Linked DNA regions of Caenorhabditis elegans. The gene in region 2 interacts genetically with the main gene of each other region. Each region holds a gene or a part of one and is shown on either strand. Other genes may lie near its edges.

Region 1 (5,411 bases), on a different chromosome or scaffold from region 2:
ATCTACAATTCTTAGAACCTCCTCCTTTCAACCGATCCTTTCACAAGTAAAGTGCTCCACTCTCGCAAGAAAAGGTTTTGATTTCACGCTCCAATATCAAAACGAAACTTTTTTTAAATACTAAATTACTTATTGAAAACAGATCACTGTAAAACTCTAAGCCACTTTCTGGATAAATAAAATTTCGATCTGAAACATTTTAAGCGTAACTGTGCACTACTTTCGACGGACGTAAAACTGCTCGGATAACTATTTTGATGATTTCCAAGGATTTTAGGGGGTTTATATTTAAGTGAATATCCTGGCAGCTTTTTGAAAGTGTTTTTTTTTTTGATAATATTAAATTTAATCCATCAAGCTCGATCGGAAAAAATCAGACCAAAATTACATTTCCAAGGATTCTAGAATATTTGGCTACTGTAAACACTTTTAAAGTTGACATAAGTCGTTTAAAAGCTGCAAAAAGAAATCTCGAGCAGTTCTAAAGCCCTCAAAAACAATGTAAAAATACACAGAAAAAGTTTAAAATCTAAATTTTTAAATAAAAAATTTTAAAACTCGTTTTGATGTTTTAGAGTAAAATAAAAACCTTTCTCTATCAACAAAATTGATCACACGCAAATTGGAGATTAGGATTTTGGCAAAGAAAGAAGCTAAGTTCTGGATGAACATATACGTGGTGGAGCTCCCATACAAGTGAGTACACTATCGACCCAATGCATCGGATTATTCAAATGAGCCTGAAACCAAACAGGCGATCGGAGGACGGTTGAACGACGATAGTGTTCTCCCCAACCTTTGCAGAACGAAACACGAACTGTGCACATTCGTGAGAGACAGTAGACGTCTGAAATGTTGGAAGAAAAAAAATGTAGCTGACTAGAAGGTTTGAGAATTCGTATTCTCCGAAAGTTGCATCGGTAAAAACTATACACCAAAAAATGTCAAAAACTTTTTATAAATTATTTTTAGTTGACAATTTTGATATATCGCACAATAGCCGTACTTTGGACGAAAAGTAATATGATATAATAGAAATTACTAATTCACTCTCACCTTGATATGTCTTCTCAGCTGCTGTTCTCAGCTGTTTGGAGAATAATCTCATGTCAAAAACTTTCATAGTTCCAGTTGGAGGCAACTTTGATACAGTATTCAATTGGAAACCATTCTTCATATTTGCACCGATTGACTGTACAAAAACAGGAATATTGCACAAATTCTCTACATAGACTTCACCAGCTAACAAGTAAAATCGAACACCCTTTCCAATGAGACCACGAACTTCGGCCGTTTGTGGAGAGCGGTTTGGATTGTTGTACCAACCAAGCGAGAAACGGCTGTAATGATGTTATTTTGATATTTACTTGAATTTATGTTTTAGTTCAGTGTACACTAGTGAATGTAGTTAAAATTCAGATGCGTGTAAGTTCTAGACCAGGGCTTCTGTCAATGATACAAACCTTCTGGTTTCTGAGTCAGTGCGACTAGCTGTAAATCCATCGATCAGGCAGTGATGCCCTTCTACATCGGCTTTCTCTCCAATCATCGTTCCTTCTTCATAATAAATTAATTTCAGCCAACTCGGCGACTCTTCATATTCTACACATTCATATATTCCAGCCTGTCGTGACAGATCTCCAAGTTCTAATGCCGAAGATCGATAGAGTGGTCGAGGTTCAATTGGTGTGATAGGCCGTCCATCTGCATACGTTGGCTTTCGGTTTCCATTGTTCTCTGATGAAAAATTCTCGGAATGCATGATGTCACTAACTTCGGAATCATCCATCATTTCTTGATCCAGACTTATTGTATCATTTCCGTTTGGAATAAACTCTCGAGGAGAAGCTGCATGACTGTAAATTTAAAGTTTTATAGATCTAAACTAATATTTCAATTTTTTCCAATATTCAACAGTTTCGTCGGCCCGACCGCCAAATTTAATTTTTTTTTCAACCTTTAGGTCGAATTTCGAATTCTACTTTCAGTTTAGCCAGTTCTTTAGATTGTTGAATCAGTATTGTAAAAACAAAAAAATTCCAAAAAAGTGAAATTCGTACCTAGCTGGAGATGAGAGTCCAGATCTATAATATCCGGGTTCCTCGTCGTCTTGTCGATTACTTTGTTGCAGTAACGATGCGAAAGATGATCCTAATGACATCGTGGTAGAGCTACACGGACTTCCATCAAAAGAGCCAAAATTTCCGTAATTCATATATTGAAAATCTCCGTTTTCAGCTGCATATCGATCATAGAGAAGCTGAAATTTTTATTTTTGAATGTGAGGGGGTGACAGTGGATGTTTTGTAGAAATACGTGCAAATATTTCAGTCAACGTTTTTGGTAAGTTTGCAAATTTCCAAAATTTCTAAAGAAAAAAAAAGATTAATTGCAACTTATTTACTGGATTTTGCATTTTGGAAAGAGTTCAAAAAGGGATATCATCTCTCAACAAACCTTAATTTCATCTCCTCTCATCGTCACATTTGGCACATCCCAACTTGCAACCACCTGTTCCTCTTTCAAATCCTTTTGATTCCAATCATCCAGTGCATCCTCAGTCCGAATCGGAGGTTCACCGTAATCCAATTCCTTATTTACAATAATTGGTGGAACTTGGCACGTCGGTAGTTCAACCCATCGATAATGATACGGATTCAGACAAACATTCCGACTATGGGAATTGAATGCATGTCGACACGTTAATATTGATTTCACTTGAGATTCATATCGAATAACCGGAAATCTGAATGCTCTCAAGACACACATGATAGCTCGTCCAAAGTTTCCAATGAGTTTCTCATTGTGTGCAGGACAGCATCGTGTTTTTGGATCACCTTTAATAACGGCATCGTAGAAAGCTTCAAAGCACTGGTGTTTTTTAGCTACTCTAGAGAGTAATCGGGTAACTTTGAGAGCCCAGTAGATTGTTCCCTAAAAAATAGTTGAGGATAGCTTGACACTTCAAATAGGGCAATTTTAAGGATTTGAATTTCTTAGGAAAAGTTTACTATAACAAAATTTAAAAAACAAGATATGGGCTTTTCTCTTTTCCTGTAATTTTCTCTTTATTTTTTTTTTGGATCTTTTCGAGTCTCCAACATACATTAAAACCTTTTGTCGTAAATATCCTTTCAGTTTCTTTAAGTATTACTATTTTTGAAAAAAAATTGTTTCCTGTTTTAAAAGAAAAGGCTAATTTGAGAGACACATTCTAAAATTAGAAAACGTATAAGTTAATGTTTATGTAGGTTGATTCTAAATATTTTAAAATAAAAATTCGCTAATATGTCTGGACATTTGATGTTTGATCAAGATACGGTATCTCTCAACTCTGCTCTTTTTTAAAGTTTCTTGTTCACTTACTTGCTCGCCGGCTGGCCTAGAATATGAAATTTAAAATTTGCAGATGGCTTTTTAATTTTTAAAAGTAGCCAGCGAGACTATTTGTGTTGAAAATTCAAAAAAAAAGTTTCAAATCTTCAAAAACATACATCTCCTTCAGTGATAATAGTTTCTTCTAACACTTTTTGAGCCATTGCCTCAAGTCTGGGATCAGTAGGTTCTGGTGAAGGAAAATCGTCCATTTTCGTAGTTTTAAAACTGAAATTTCGAAGAATTAAAAAAAATATGGGAGGAGATGTTAGGCTAGAATAAAATCCAAAAAAATGGGCCGAGCTTAAAAAGCAACGACCACAAAAAAGGACTGATTTGGGATAAAGAATAATAAATAGTACAGATGATTTTATATATGAAATTAATATTTTTCGTTGTGCATTGCCGAAATTCAAAAAAAATTTGAATCAGAAAACAGAATTATATCCAAAATGATAATAGAACCTTCTGGTAAGTCATAAGAGTCAGGTGAGCTACTCAAATGGGCGGAGTTTCAATATCTACATAGAAAGGCGAAATGAAAGAATTATGAAATTCAAGAACTCGGAATGAAAACTGGTATGAACGTGTAAAAAATGATAAGAAACAACAGTTTGTGATAAGATTTTTGTGTTGATCAGAATCGTCATCACCTATAAAATCAAGGAAAAATAGAGAGAGAAATGAAGAAAAATGAGAGGAAGTTTTCATTTGATTTATTCAACTTTTAAATGGATTCGAAGTTTTTTCGATATCAGGAACGCGGTTCCAAAATGATCGAAAATCTAGATATTTACCTGAATCTTGATTTTGTTTTATACAGAATTTTTCTGAACTCAATGAAGCCGATGACTCCTAATTAATTTATTCAAGTTTCGTTCATTTAGATATGACAAGGCATCACGAAGATCTCAAGACTCACCCGGCTTCTGATACGTGACCTAGAAATAGTTATAACTCGGCCAGCAATTTATCAAAAGCAAAAAAGTTGGGAGGAAAGTATAATTTCATCTTTTGAAATCGTTTCTCTTAAATTTTAGCAAATGTCCATTTTTAGAATTTCTTTGACTATTTTGAGTTTTTATTTTAAAAAAAAGTCCATTAATAGAAACTAACATAAGTACTACTAAGAAGGCGTCATATTGTTATTTTTGTTTCAGATGGATGTACGTCACTACTTTTTATTGAGGTGCTCTCATGAGGAACCAGAATAAATAAACTATTTTATAACACACTGTACCATTTCCAATTGTTTAAGAAATTAAAAAAATAGAATAGAACTCACAGAAAATCAGTTTTTTTCTGAATCTGGCGGCGAAAAAAGCCAAGATATGGACGGAACCTAATTTTGGGGTGTTCTCTAAGCAAATTTTGAACATTGATTTCGAATACTGAATGTTAGAAGAACGCCAAATTGACGGCGAATAGATTAGGAAAAAAAGGTTTTCAAAACAGTAATAATGTATTTATAAATTCTATAGAAGTATGACATTCTGAGAATATTATAGAAAAAGAGATTTCGTATTATTATTATTATCAAATCATTCTGTGAATCTTCGTATCATATGACTTACTATTAAACAACCAAAATGAGCTGAACCTAAAGCCTTGAAGACCACGAAGTGACCACAGATTAAATACTGGAGGAAGAAACAAAACAAGTAAATAATCATAACAATTTATCTATAAAATCCTTTCAAAAGTTGAAGTAAACAACATCCTTTGAGATATCATGATTAAAAAGAATGAATAATGTTTCTAAATTTGTATAATCCTCTTCCTCTTTTATATTATTTTTATGATTTCTTCTGACTTTGAAGAGAAACAAAATCGGATTCAGATAAATTTCGAAAATTCTTGATTAACTCGGATTAAATGTCTCCTGACAATTGCACAACGAGCAAAACAGATGAAGGGTAGAAGAAGAAAGAGAATTCGTAAGTAAAGAGAATCGAGAAGAGAATAGAAACTGACATAAAAAGTTAGAAGGTTTTATGATTAACATATATCGCATGTTTCTTCGTGTATCGAGAACA
Region 2 (6,899 bases):
TTTGAAAAATTTTGACCAAAACTTGATTTTTTCCCCAATAATTTAGTAAAATGACACAAAAATGAGTTATTTTAATGTTTAAGCAGACACACCAGGGGTGGGCGGTAAACGATTTTTTCCGGCAAATCGACAAACGGGCAAATTTCCGGAATTGAAAAATTCCGGCAAATCGGCAAACCGGCAAGTTTCCGGAATTGAGAACCTCCGGCAAATTAGGAAACTGGCAAACTGCCGGAATTGAAAATTTTCGGCAAGTCGGCAAACCGGAAAATTCCGGCAAACTGCCGGAATTGAAAATTTCCGACAAGTCGGCAAACCGGCAAATTGCCGAAATTGAAAACTTAACCTGAGCACTGCAAACGTTTGAAAAAAAAGTTGAAAACTTCCGGCAAATTGTGAAACCGGCAAATTGACGGAATTGAAAATTTCCGGCAAATCGACAAACCGGCAAATTGCCGGAACTAAAAACTTCCGGCAAATCGGCAAAATGTGCCAAAAAATAGAAATAATACGTTCATTACTGAATGTCAAATTCAATTTGCACAAATAGATAGAAAAAACGACGAAAATAAAAAACGCAGTGATACCGTAACTGTTGCTTTGGGATGGAGACTGTCCTGAATCGAAGGGGGGAGTTGGGGGGATTTTGGCTACTCAAGAATGACAAAATACATATTGAACCGGGCAGCATATATATATATATATATTAACAGAAAAAAAGAAGTGATTATTAAAAAGAGGAATTTCGAACCGAAAAGATTATTAGAAATAGGTACAAGTTTTCGAGTAGCAGCATTTGGTAGAGATACATTGATTTTTTAAAGTGCGTATTTTGTTGTGGAGAGGACGGTGTTAACAACAGATAGGAATATGAAAAAAATGGGGAAAAGAGGTACCTAATAGTATGGCAAGTGGCGAGAGAGATGTGGGACAGAAAGAGAGAAAGAGACAGACAGAGAGGTAAAATGAATTTAAAAACAATACGACTAGCGTCATTTTCAATATATGTACATAACCGGGGTGGGGTGCAACAATTCTCACAAGTGTTTTGTACATGAAGGAATGATAGGTTTGGCTTGAAGGAGAAAGGAATACATAATGGAATAAGAAAGATCATCTAATCAATTCTTGACGGTGGTGGTTTTGATAAACTGGGCCAATTGCTCATAGGCACCGGCGGTGAGCTTCGGGTAGAGGGAGAGAAGAGCTGGAGATGACATGGCCGTGGAGAGTTGTTGTTTCTGGAATTAGTTATATTTAATTTCAAAATAGAAATTAATAAGCGCAAATCACAAACTAGTAGCAGTGTATTTTTTCTACACTTTTACGACTTTAAAGGTCTCGCTACGCGCCATCCATCGATTTTTGGAGCGCGTGGCGAGACCATTTTGAATAAATGCGCCCTTCTTTAAAGTCGTGAAAGTTGGAAAAAATACACTGTCAGAGTGTCCCATATTGGTTTGATCTACGTAGATCTACAAAAAATGCGGGAGTTGAGACGCAGAGTTCCCAACTGAATTCGCATGGTTAAGAACGTGCTGACGTCACATTTTTTTTGGCGAAAAATTCCCGCATTTTTTGTAGATCAAACCGTAATGGGACAGCATGTCACCACGTGATGTAGCTCTCATTTTCTAAGATCTTTAAAACGAGCCGAGATATCAGCTTTTCTGTATTTTGGAGTAAAATCAAAGTGTTGGTGTTTGCAGCACAGGTCCAGCGAGTGTGAAGAGACACAGACGTCCCGGGACCCAGGGCGCGGGAGCAAGAAGAGCCGATTTGTGTCGATTTACGGAGGAATGTCTGTGTCTCTTCAACTCTAGATCTACGAGTGCTTAAACGGGAGCTCTAAAAAATTCAACTCCCCATGTATACTTACCAAAAAATCAGAATTCGGCGAGATCGGCAACGCTGCAGGAATCGGCGTAATCACTGGCGCCGGCGTAGAAACCACTGGCGGTGTCACAATCGGCAGAGGAAGCTTGATCCCAGACGCGATCAGCTGCTGGGCTAACGCCACAAAGTTGATATTTCCCAACGAGATCGGCTGTACCGGAGCCGGCTTTGGTTTTGGTGGCGGTGGCGGTGGCGGCAGTGGCGGCAGTGGCGGACGGTTACACAGTACACGTATCGCGTCTGCCGAGACATTCTTGAGCAACGCGTGCTCTCTTAACACGAACTCCATTGGAGTCAAAAGTTTGGCGTCGCGATCGAGATTGGCGAATTGCTCGGCGAGCTGCTGGATTTCTTGTCGCGTGGCTTTGGAGGCATTGTCGAAGTGGCGCATGTTGTCGAACTCTCCTTTGGAAACGTCGAAGTTCGCTGACGCTCGACTCTTAAAGTTCGGATCCTTCATCTTTGCCTTCCATTCTTGCTGCTGCGTGACGACTTTATGTGTGAAATCGGACTCCTTCACCCACAAATTGTATTCTTCAGGCGATTTCAGGAATAAAGCCTCGAGAGCTGCATCGTCCATTTTGTTAAGCTGCTCGATGATGACTGCCTCAAATTTGTTTCTAGGCTTTAGGCCTTTGGATCCAGATGGTCCGAGGAAGTCGGCAATATGGAGATTCTCCATCTTCTTCTTGTTCCTCAACTTGCACTTCTCAATATCTGCATCTCTATCCACAATCTCCTCGCCTTCCTCTTCTTCATCAGCTTCCCAGCCGTTGTCCGCGGCCACCGGCACAGGTGTCTCCATAGCGGGTCTCTTCGGCGGCGCCTGATGCGGCGCAGCTTCATCGTATTCACGCTTGCCAGCTCTGTGCGAGTTCAGGACAAATTTATTCCAGGCTTCCAGGTTCTCATTGGATTTATCGAATACTTCAATAAGCCGAATCCACTGGAAGCTGTTACAGCCGGTGTGCACAAAACCGCTCGGCTTGATCGGATAGTGATGGTGCATGATGAAGTCGGTCGGTGTGAACTTTCCCTCACAATGCTGGCATTCGATGCATCGCATGTTCCGCCGATTCTTGTACCAATAGCCGTGTGTTCCACTCTGCATCACATCCTCCTCCAAGTCATCGCTCTCCAACCATTCGCTGCAGTAGTCGATGAAGTTGACGTGCACAACGTGAACTCGATCGGAGATGTCCCTGGAAATGGCTTTGGTTGTTTTGTTGGTCTAGCTGGTTTTTTTTGTCTTTTTTTTAGTTGAGTTTTTGGCCTTTTGACCCCGAAAACTATTCAGATATTCAAAGAGACTCGAAAGATGATGTCTCTTCTCTCTTTTGAAAAATGAGCTTTGGCCGAGAAATTGTTTTCTTGTCGGGCTCTCTATTTAGAGTGAGAGATGCGTAGGAAGCGCGGCGTCCGGAGCTTGCTTCTAATTAGAGAGCTGCCCCGGCCTCACAGGAGTGTTTATGCTAGTGGAACTTAGGCTCGCCACACTTACCAGTTGTCGTGCTCGGCCAACGTGAGCATGCTCTCCAGGCGGAGCTCGCCCATGATCCGTTCAATGTCCGACCGGCTCATCAGGCTCAGCGATGTGATGTTGAGGTTTTCGCACTCCTTGCTCTTCTCCATGACTGCTCGGAACTGGGATGGCGACGCCATTCGGATGTAGACGTTTTTGTAGCCTGGAAAATTACCTTTTCAGCAAAGTCCTGTTAAAAGGGTCGAGGGTGCCTGGTGTTCCCGAGAGAGATCATGCTAAAAGAAAAAAAAACTTACGAAGCAAATTCTGAAACGACATCTGATCCTTCTTGTCCTTCTTTGTGAGCATATCATCGAGAATCTCAATCGGCAGGTGTGGCTCCCCATCGATGGACAACGCTGGGACACGGACTCTGCAAGAATTTTGAATTTTTTTTTCCGAGGTCTAGACGGAACTAGTCAAACTAGTCGCCTGGATAACAAAATAAAATAGAGTGAACACGCTGCCCTATCGAAAACATGGAAGTGCACCATGTTTTTGTGGAAATATTTTTGCTGTTTTTTAGACGATGACGCCATTGACTTCTTGGTCTTGTGATTGTTTTTTGAAAATAAAACTACGCTACTAGGCTTGTTGTCCCAGACTTCTCGCTGCACCCCCAAAGCTTTACGCTGACCTTTGCTCAGGTTGAAGTGGCGGCGGGGCGAAATATGTGTACGTACAGGATGTGCTCTTTTGAGCTCCGACAAAATGTTGCAGGCTCCTTCTTCTTTTTCTTCTTTTTCTGCTGCAGCTACTCCTCACCCTCATGTGACATTGTGAGGGGCGCGCGCGCCTCAAATGTGAATGCATAATGATTTGGGACCCCTTGGCTAGACACTAGTAAGAAGGAAGAAGTGCGCGGAGAAAAAAGCAATGGGATAGAATGAGGAAGGGGAGAGATGTGATTTTTGGAGTCCCTCTCTTTTTTTTGTGTTGCTTAATGTTTTTTGAGGATATATGTCGAGCAGGTGAAATTAAATGTGACTCATTAGGGGGTTTTTGAGACTCTCGACATTTGGTTCTAGGTTTCGCGATTTTGAAAAAGCGAGGAGATTGAAACTCCGCAGAAATCTAAGCCTAAGCCTAAGCTTGAGACAAAGCCAGAGCCTAAGCCTAAGCTTAATCCTAAGCCTAAGCTTAATCCTAAAAGTCTATTTGTCAGCAAAAAAGAAAAAAAGTTGAAATTCCGTAGGAATCTTAGCATAGGACTAAACCTAAATTAAAGGATAAGGTTAAGCCTGAAGTGAAGCCTAAGCTTAAGCCGAAGCCTAGGCCCAAACTTAAGCCTAAGTCTAAGCCTAAGCCCATTTTTCAGCAGTAAAAGTCTGCTCACCCCAACAACCAAATCCACAAGAATCTCCCCGGATCGCTATACTTCTTCTGATGGATCACAATCCCATCGGCTCGAGAATCCTTCCGCTTCGCCGACGTCGACGGTTGCCCATCATCATCGTCGTCTGATCTCGTCTCCTCATGCAACGCCTTCAAGTTCGCAATCAATGGATCAATGTCCATGAGGTCTGGGGTTCGGTGCTCCGGCTCCACCTGCTGCGAGGAGCCGATCGGCGAGTCGGACATATAGGATCTGTAATAAGGAAATGAATTAGGTAAGGGTGGGTGGGAGGAAGCAGCGAAAATGCAAAATATGTACAGACGAAATATATATTTATCAGAATAACAATGATGTGGCATATTGACACACAGAACACAAATCACATGTGATGTGTGAGGATAGATGAGCTGGCCTGGCGCAAAAATCTGTGAAAGGTGTTAAATGAGGAATTAGACGGCGAGACAGAAACTCTGCTCCGCCCCAGAAGGCGTGTCTTTTTGCTGCTTCTCGTGTGCCCGCCGCTATCCGCCCATTTCGTGTTGAACTCTTGACCATCGACTAGCTGCGAGAGCACAAACAGACGCTATTGACACAATATAGTAAAATTTACTATGCCAGACTTGAGAGCCCGAACATTTTGAGTTTCGAAATGAAAAATAGGAAAAAAAAAAAGATTATCAGAGATCTTGGAGGATTAGGATTAACTACAATAACAAAGAAGAACACGAAAAGTGTGACGGAATTGATGAAGGTGGATATAGTCTTATAGGTCAAGATTTACATATGATCTTACACTTTTGAAAGTTACGAAAAAACATTGTGATTTGGAGGCTAGGACGTCTAGAGATATTTCCGGTAGTAGCCCAGAAATTAGAAAATTGAAATATGAACTTCTAAGAAAATCAGTAAAAAAATGTAGCACCACAAATGTATGTAGTCTAGACCCCCGAAGAAATCGGACGGACATTGCAACATTGGGTTCCTATCGCAAAGCCAAGTGGGCGAGAAAGAAGAGGGACAGATGAAGAGTGAGACAGTGCTGGCGGTAGTAGGTGGGAGGGGGGAGGAGGAACTACGTACGATCTTTTGATTCGTATGGTCTTGTTGGAAATGTGTTTGTATATGCGAAAAGATAGATAGAAGATGGGGTGGTGGTGGAGCAAAGAGCAATAAGTTGTTGTTGTTGCGAAAAAGCTTATAGCTGTGTCGGTGGCGTAGATACAAAAATGTTTTAAATTGGCAAAATGTAGAAAAAAATTTGCTGAACATTTTTTTAGTTGACAACTTTTTTATAGCATTTATAGCAATTGAGATATGGTGGCTCAAAGATGAGACAGCATAGAATTCAAAAAAAGTGCAAAAAGATTGGAGCAGTCTATCTCTACAGGAATAGGTGGAACACAAATTTAATCAACTGGCAAAAGGTAGAAAAAAATTTGCTGAATATTTTGTTAGTTAACAACTTTTTGATAGCTCACAAAGCAACCGAGATATGATGGCTCAAAATTGAAACATAGTAGTTTCAGGTGTGCAAAGATTGGAGCAGCCTATCTCTGCAGGAATTGATGATACAAAAAGTGATCAACTAAAAAATTGTACAAACTTTTTTGTTGAATATTTTGTTAGTAAACAACTTTTTGATAACTTTCATACCCACAGAGATACATTAGCTCAAAGTTGTGACACGAGAAATAAACTTTGGAAATTCAGCGCCACATGACAAACGTCAGCGAAAATTTGAAAGAACACAAAAAACACAATGGCATATAATTATCTATAGATATTACTGCCCAAAGCCGTTCAACTCAAAAAAAATTGTGCACAATTCATGAGAAATCAAGCCAAACAACTGGAAGCTTATGCGTTATACGTGAGGAACGCGTGAGAATTTTCGAAGCCAAAATGCAGATGTATTTTTCCTACATAAACATGAATTTTGAACACCTAATGGTTTTTGAAATTATTATTTTGCTTGAAAATAACAAGAAAAAAAAACTGCAAAAACAAGATGTGACTGAGGGATTAGCGTTATAGACGTTATCAGTGTAGTCTGTGGAAATACAGGAAAAAAAATAATCAGAGAAAGATGTGACTTGAAACAGTTGTAGCTAGGTAGGATTAAGAGATATCAAAAAAGTTACAACT
Region 3 (4,330 bases), on a different chromosome or scaffold from region 2:
GGGAAGTTCCTAATAGTTTTTCGGAACAGTTCAATACCTTTTTGTATTCATTCTATCATTCACCGAAAAAACGAACTAAACGAACAACTTAAGATCCTTATCTACTTGTCTCTTTACATTAAATTCTTCTCCTTGCTAATGCAACTTTTTCAAACGATTGTTGGGAATGGTTTCTAATGTCATGTTCTAGAGAACAGGGAAATATAAACTTTACTGTCGTATTTGTAGGAATGAAATTCAATGAAAACAGTTGTCTTGTTTAGCAAAGTGGCAACAGAACTGTCCAGACCTGACACCAAGTGTATGGAGATTTTTGTTAAATCGTACAACCGTGGTAAATATGAGAACTTTAAAGCTCATTGTTACCGTTCAAGCAATTTCTCAGAAAACTATATAAAATGCTGCAGAACGTTTTTTGCAAGTATTTTGCCCATTTTTTCTTAATTTTTAAGTAAAAAATTAAGCTCGAGGCGCCTCTGGTGGCCATTTTTAGAGTTTAAAACTCTAAAGAAAATGTGTAACAGCACTCAATAATTTATTCCTCAATCACAGTGTTTTATAACATATTCTTGTCAATGATGATGAAAAAGTGCGTGGTTTGTTGAAATTGAATCTCAGAAAACACAACTACGCACGCACAGACACACATAAAAATGGGAGAAGGAGTCGTTGCCTATCACATTGTTGCTTTCGGGAGGGGAACAACATTTGTCGAAGGAGGTAGTGGAAGGATCCGAGGTACGAAAAGAGAGAGCTGACAAAGGATATATCAGATGGATGGTGAATGGTGAACACACGATTCGGAAATAATTATTTCGGCGAGCATTCTGGGATGAGATCGAGGGAAAGGAGACCGACAGAAGAGAAGCTCCTCGTGATTTGAGGATGAACGGGATGGAGGGAAGGATCTACAACTAAGGAGAGGATATGTGACTACGGGGTTGAAATCATGAATTTTGATTCATTAAGAAGAAACAAATCGGTGACTACTTAACATTTGTGACAATCGGAAGTGGAATTTATGAGCAACCGCATTTCTTGGCGATCATTCCGTTGACATTGGCGATTGAGACGCGTCCGTCGCGGTTGACATAGATCAGCTTGATGTAGTCGTACTCGGTTGGATGGCAGCAGTATCCGATCTCAGGATTGGAGACTTTGTGAGCTGCGCGCATGATCTTGCTGTGTCCGGTTTCCGCCAAGTTGAACTGAAATATTTTTTCATTTTGGAAACGTTATGAGACAACAAGAAACGTACGTGGTGTGCGTTATAGTGGCAATCCCCGCGGCACATGTAGGCATTGTAACGTGGTGGGGCCACGATCCAGTCCCATCCGATCTTTTCGAATTCGATTTCGAGGTCATACAAGCAGCACCCCTTGGACTGTGCTTCGGCATTGCAAACCGGTTTGGCATGAGAACGGCGTTTGCGGGACCCCTTTGGACGAGTGGAGAGCTGAAGACGCATGTTGTCAACGTCAGCAGTGGTCTGTTGGGGATGAAGGGCAACGTTGCGCCCGTCGAGCATTGCCTTGACGAAGATACCTTGGATCGGAGAAATTGTGAACCAACTGGAATATTTAAAATTAGTCGCCTGCAATTTGTTTGCTCGTCATACCTTTTGACAGTATCAATTGGAAGTTGAATGCTGATACGTTCGGATCCCTTTGTAGCGAAAATTCCAGAAGTGACCATCTCTCCCATTGATCCATCCTCGTTCTTCTCGTAAACTTGAACTTGAACATCTTGAAGCATCCCTGAATCCTTTGCAGGAATCTCAATTGATACTGTGAGTGTGGCCTGAAATTTGATAATTGAAATTTAATAAAAGGATTCTTTTTAAAAAAAAACCAAACGATACCTGAAGAATATCGCTTCTTTCCAAATCATTTGTGACGTCAAACTTGGCAACAAGCTGCGACGGGTTCTCTCCATAACTTGGATCTTTGGCGGTGTAGAATGACATTTCAACGCCCATATCCTGCTCGTCCTTCTCCAGTAAGTCCCTATACATCTCCAGGTAGACTGACTTCATTTCTGGGTCCATTGGCTTCAATCCCTTTGGTGCCTCTTTCATGTTCAGCTGGTCGAGAATTTCGTTCTAAAGAATGTAAAATGAAACATTAAAGTAAGACACAATCACAGTGATCAAACAAACTAGTGGACTAGTAAAGTTTCGTCAAATCCGGATAAGCTTGAATGATCTTACAGGATCAAATAATGCTCACCTTAAGGTACTCTGTTCGGTGCTGCTTCATCTTTTCAATACAAACACCTGAGTTGGTGCAGTTGAACGTCAAACCATGTGGGAGGGAAAGAAGGAAGATAAACACCGGGAGTGAAGATGCCATGAACATGGCTGAACTTCAAGCGGGCTGAACCGGGCAGTCGAAAAAAAGTTGAAGATGTAGAAATAAAAAAGCTTTGAACAAGTTGTTGTTTTTTCCAAAGAAAAACTTTGAATGAGGGCTTAAACTACTGAATTCCCCCCTTTTATCCCATTCTTCTGAACTCCGCCCATAATGAGGCGGGCTCTCATATCCATATTGAGATCTCAGAGGGGCGTGGCCTGCGCAGCGATTGGACATCCATGTGGTAACTCATCTATACCGTAGAGAAAAGAAGCTTCCAGAAAATTTTGCGGAATTGGCCCCTAATAGGTTTTCTGTTCATGAAAATTTATTCCAAATTTTTGTACTTTTCAAAGATTCTGTGCGAATATATTTCAGGAGTAAAACGTTGTGAATAATTCTAGGTCTGCTTGAAAGTTGTAATTTCTCATTAATTCAATTTTCATTAAGTTAACAAGGCGATTGCTGTTCGGGTATCAGATTTTTTCGATAATTCAGTAATCGCCAAAAGTTCCGATAGTCGCTTATTTTAAATATCTGCAATTGTAGACTGATCGGAATTTTTTTACTACACACTCAATACTTATTCTGGTCACTTGCCATTATCAACCTAATGTTATCAACATAATGGTTTGAGAACATTTTGAATATTTTGAAAATTGCCGAAAATGTCGTTGTTCGCATTTTAAAAGTAGCTTAAAATCTTGTTGAATTTAGTCAAATTAAACTACAGATTTGTTTCTTTTACATTTCGATTTCTCAATAAGCAGCCTAACATATAATTAAAGAAAAAATTGGTCTGATAAAACATGATTCAAGCTTCTGATTAAATGTAACAATTGTTTAACATTTGTTGAGGTAAGAACATTCAAAACACCGTAAATTCCTTAAAAATAAAATTTATTCTCTAATTCAAAATTGAAAGGGTACACTTCTCGGCAAAACGTCGCAACTTCATAGCAAACTCCTGCAACTTAATAAAAACATTTATATAACTTTGTAAAAAGCTGTTAAGAAGTTGCGAAAACCAACGGGATTGTGAGCGAAATTTAGCTTTGCATCTGCTAAGAAATTGCAAAAGTCGTCTGAAAAGCTGCAAAAGTTTGCTTAAAAGCTAAAATGCCTAATTGTTGATAAGAAGTTGCAAGAGTATGCTATGAAGTTAGGCCGTTTTGCCGAGTTGGCATAAATCTGAAATTTGAAAAATCTGAAAAGTGTTTACATGAATTTCAAAAAGATAGAAGAAATTATTGAAATCCGTGAAATACTTCTAGCTGGTCTTGCAGGCCTAATTGTAAGGCCAGCCTTTTAAATATATCGAAGTGGTCGACCCGCTGCAAAAGAGGTTTGATCCCCCCGGCGTCCCCGATCTTTCGACCCAAAAAAATGTTTGACTTTTTCTCTTCAAGTGCCGGATTCCGACGTTCTTCATCGGGGGACGTTCTTCATCTAAAAGTGGGCATCGACCCGTTTAAGCAACGTTTGAGGTTTTAAATGAGCTATATTTGATTTTGACAATTCTTACTAGCTTGAATTTTTTTTTCTTTAGCTTTAAAATCAAAAAATTGCTTTCACGAATTTTTTTGGCTGGGATATACTGAAACTTTTATGGAACTTTCTTCTTTCTTAATCTCAAATTCTTCACCCAACGATTTCTTATAAAAATAAACAATTTTCCATAACCATAAAGTTGCTAAAAGTTAACAGTTATCAGTGCTTCAAAATTTTAGTAAAATAATTTAATTTTTAATTGTTCTTAAATTAGCAAAAAAATAAGCCTTGCTATGAATTCTAGGGAAACTATTTGTCTTATAAGTGTTTTCGCTGTTTTTTAATGCTTTTACGGCCTTTTTGTTCTTTCTTCGTACAGTGCTTTTTTTCACTTCTACGATTTTAAGGGGGGGAGGGGGGCGTATTTACGCGCGACGGTCTTGACACGCGCCACCCATTGATTTTTGAGGTGCGTGGCGAGACCAATG

Evidence for each region. A genetic interaction does not mean that the proteins touch.
Region 1: of daf-5 (region 2) and daf-8, changing one suppresses a phenotype caused by changing the other (phenotypic suppression), as found in Caenorhabditis elegans (one study listed by BioGRID).
Region 3: of daf-5 (region 2) and daf-7, changing one suppresses a phenotype caused by changing the other (phenotypic suppression), as found in Caenorhabditis elegans (one study listed by BioGRID).

What each region holds. Positions count from the first base shown.
Region 1 is NC_003279.8:8,583,903-8,589,313, forward strand, and holds daf-8 (Smad protein daf-8), read right to left. Parts: upstream 3,606-5,411; 5' UTR 3,588-3,605; coding exon 3,495-3,587; intron 2,935-3,494; coding exon 2,458-2,934; intron 2,261-2,457; coding exon 2,061-2,260; intron 1,857-2,060; coding exon 1,464-1,856; intron 1,341-1,463; coding exon 1,057-1,340; intron 848-1,056; coding exon 654-847; 3' UTR 522-653; downstream 1-521. UniProt on the Caenorhabditis elegans protein: Probably a receptor-regulated SMAD (R-SMAD) that is an intracellular signal transducer and transcriptional modulator activated by TGF-beta-like daf-7 signaling.
Region 2 is NC_003280.10:14,032,716-14,039,614, forward strand, and holds daf-5 (Ski protein homolog), read right to left. Parts: upstream 5,007-6,899; 5' UTR 5,000-5,006; coding exon 4,755-4,999; intron 3,792-4,754; coding exon 3,676-3,791; intron 3,582-3,675; coding exon 3,398-3,581; intron 3,099-3,397; coding exon 1,880-3,098; intron 1,242-1,879; coding exon 1,122-1,241; 3' UTR 505-1,121; downstream 1-504. UniProt on the Caenorhabditis elegans protein: Probable component of transcriptional regulatory complex with SMAD protein daf-3. Required to regulate entry into a developmentally arrested larval state known as dauer, in response to harsh environmental conditions.
Region 3 is NC_003281.10:809,965-814,294, reverse strand, and holds daf-7 (Dauer larva development regulatory growth factor daf-7), read right to left. Parts: upstream 2,452-4,330; 5' UTR 2,358-2,451; coding exon 2,229-2,357; intron 2,102-2,228; coding exon 1,862-2,101; intron 1,801-1,861; coding exon 1,619-1,800; intron 1,572-1,618; coding exon 1,259-1,571; intron 1,209-1,258; coding exon 1,020-1,208; 3' UTR 522-1,019; downstream 1-521. UniProt on the Caenorhabditis elegans protein: Under harsh environmental conditions, larvae enter a developmentally arrested state known as dauer; TGF-beta-like daf-7 acts to inhibit dauer larva formation and promote growth. May be a ligand to cell surface receptor daf-4.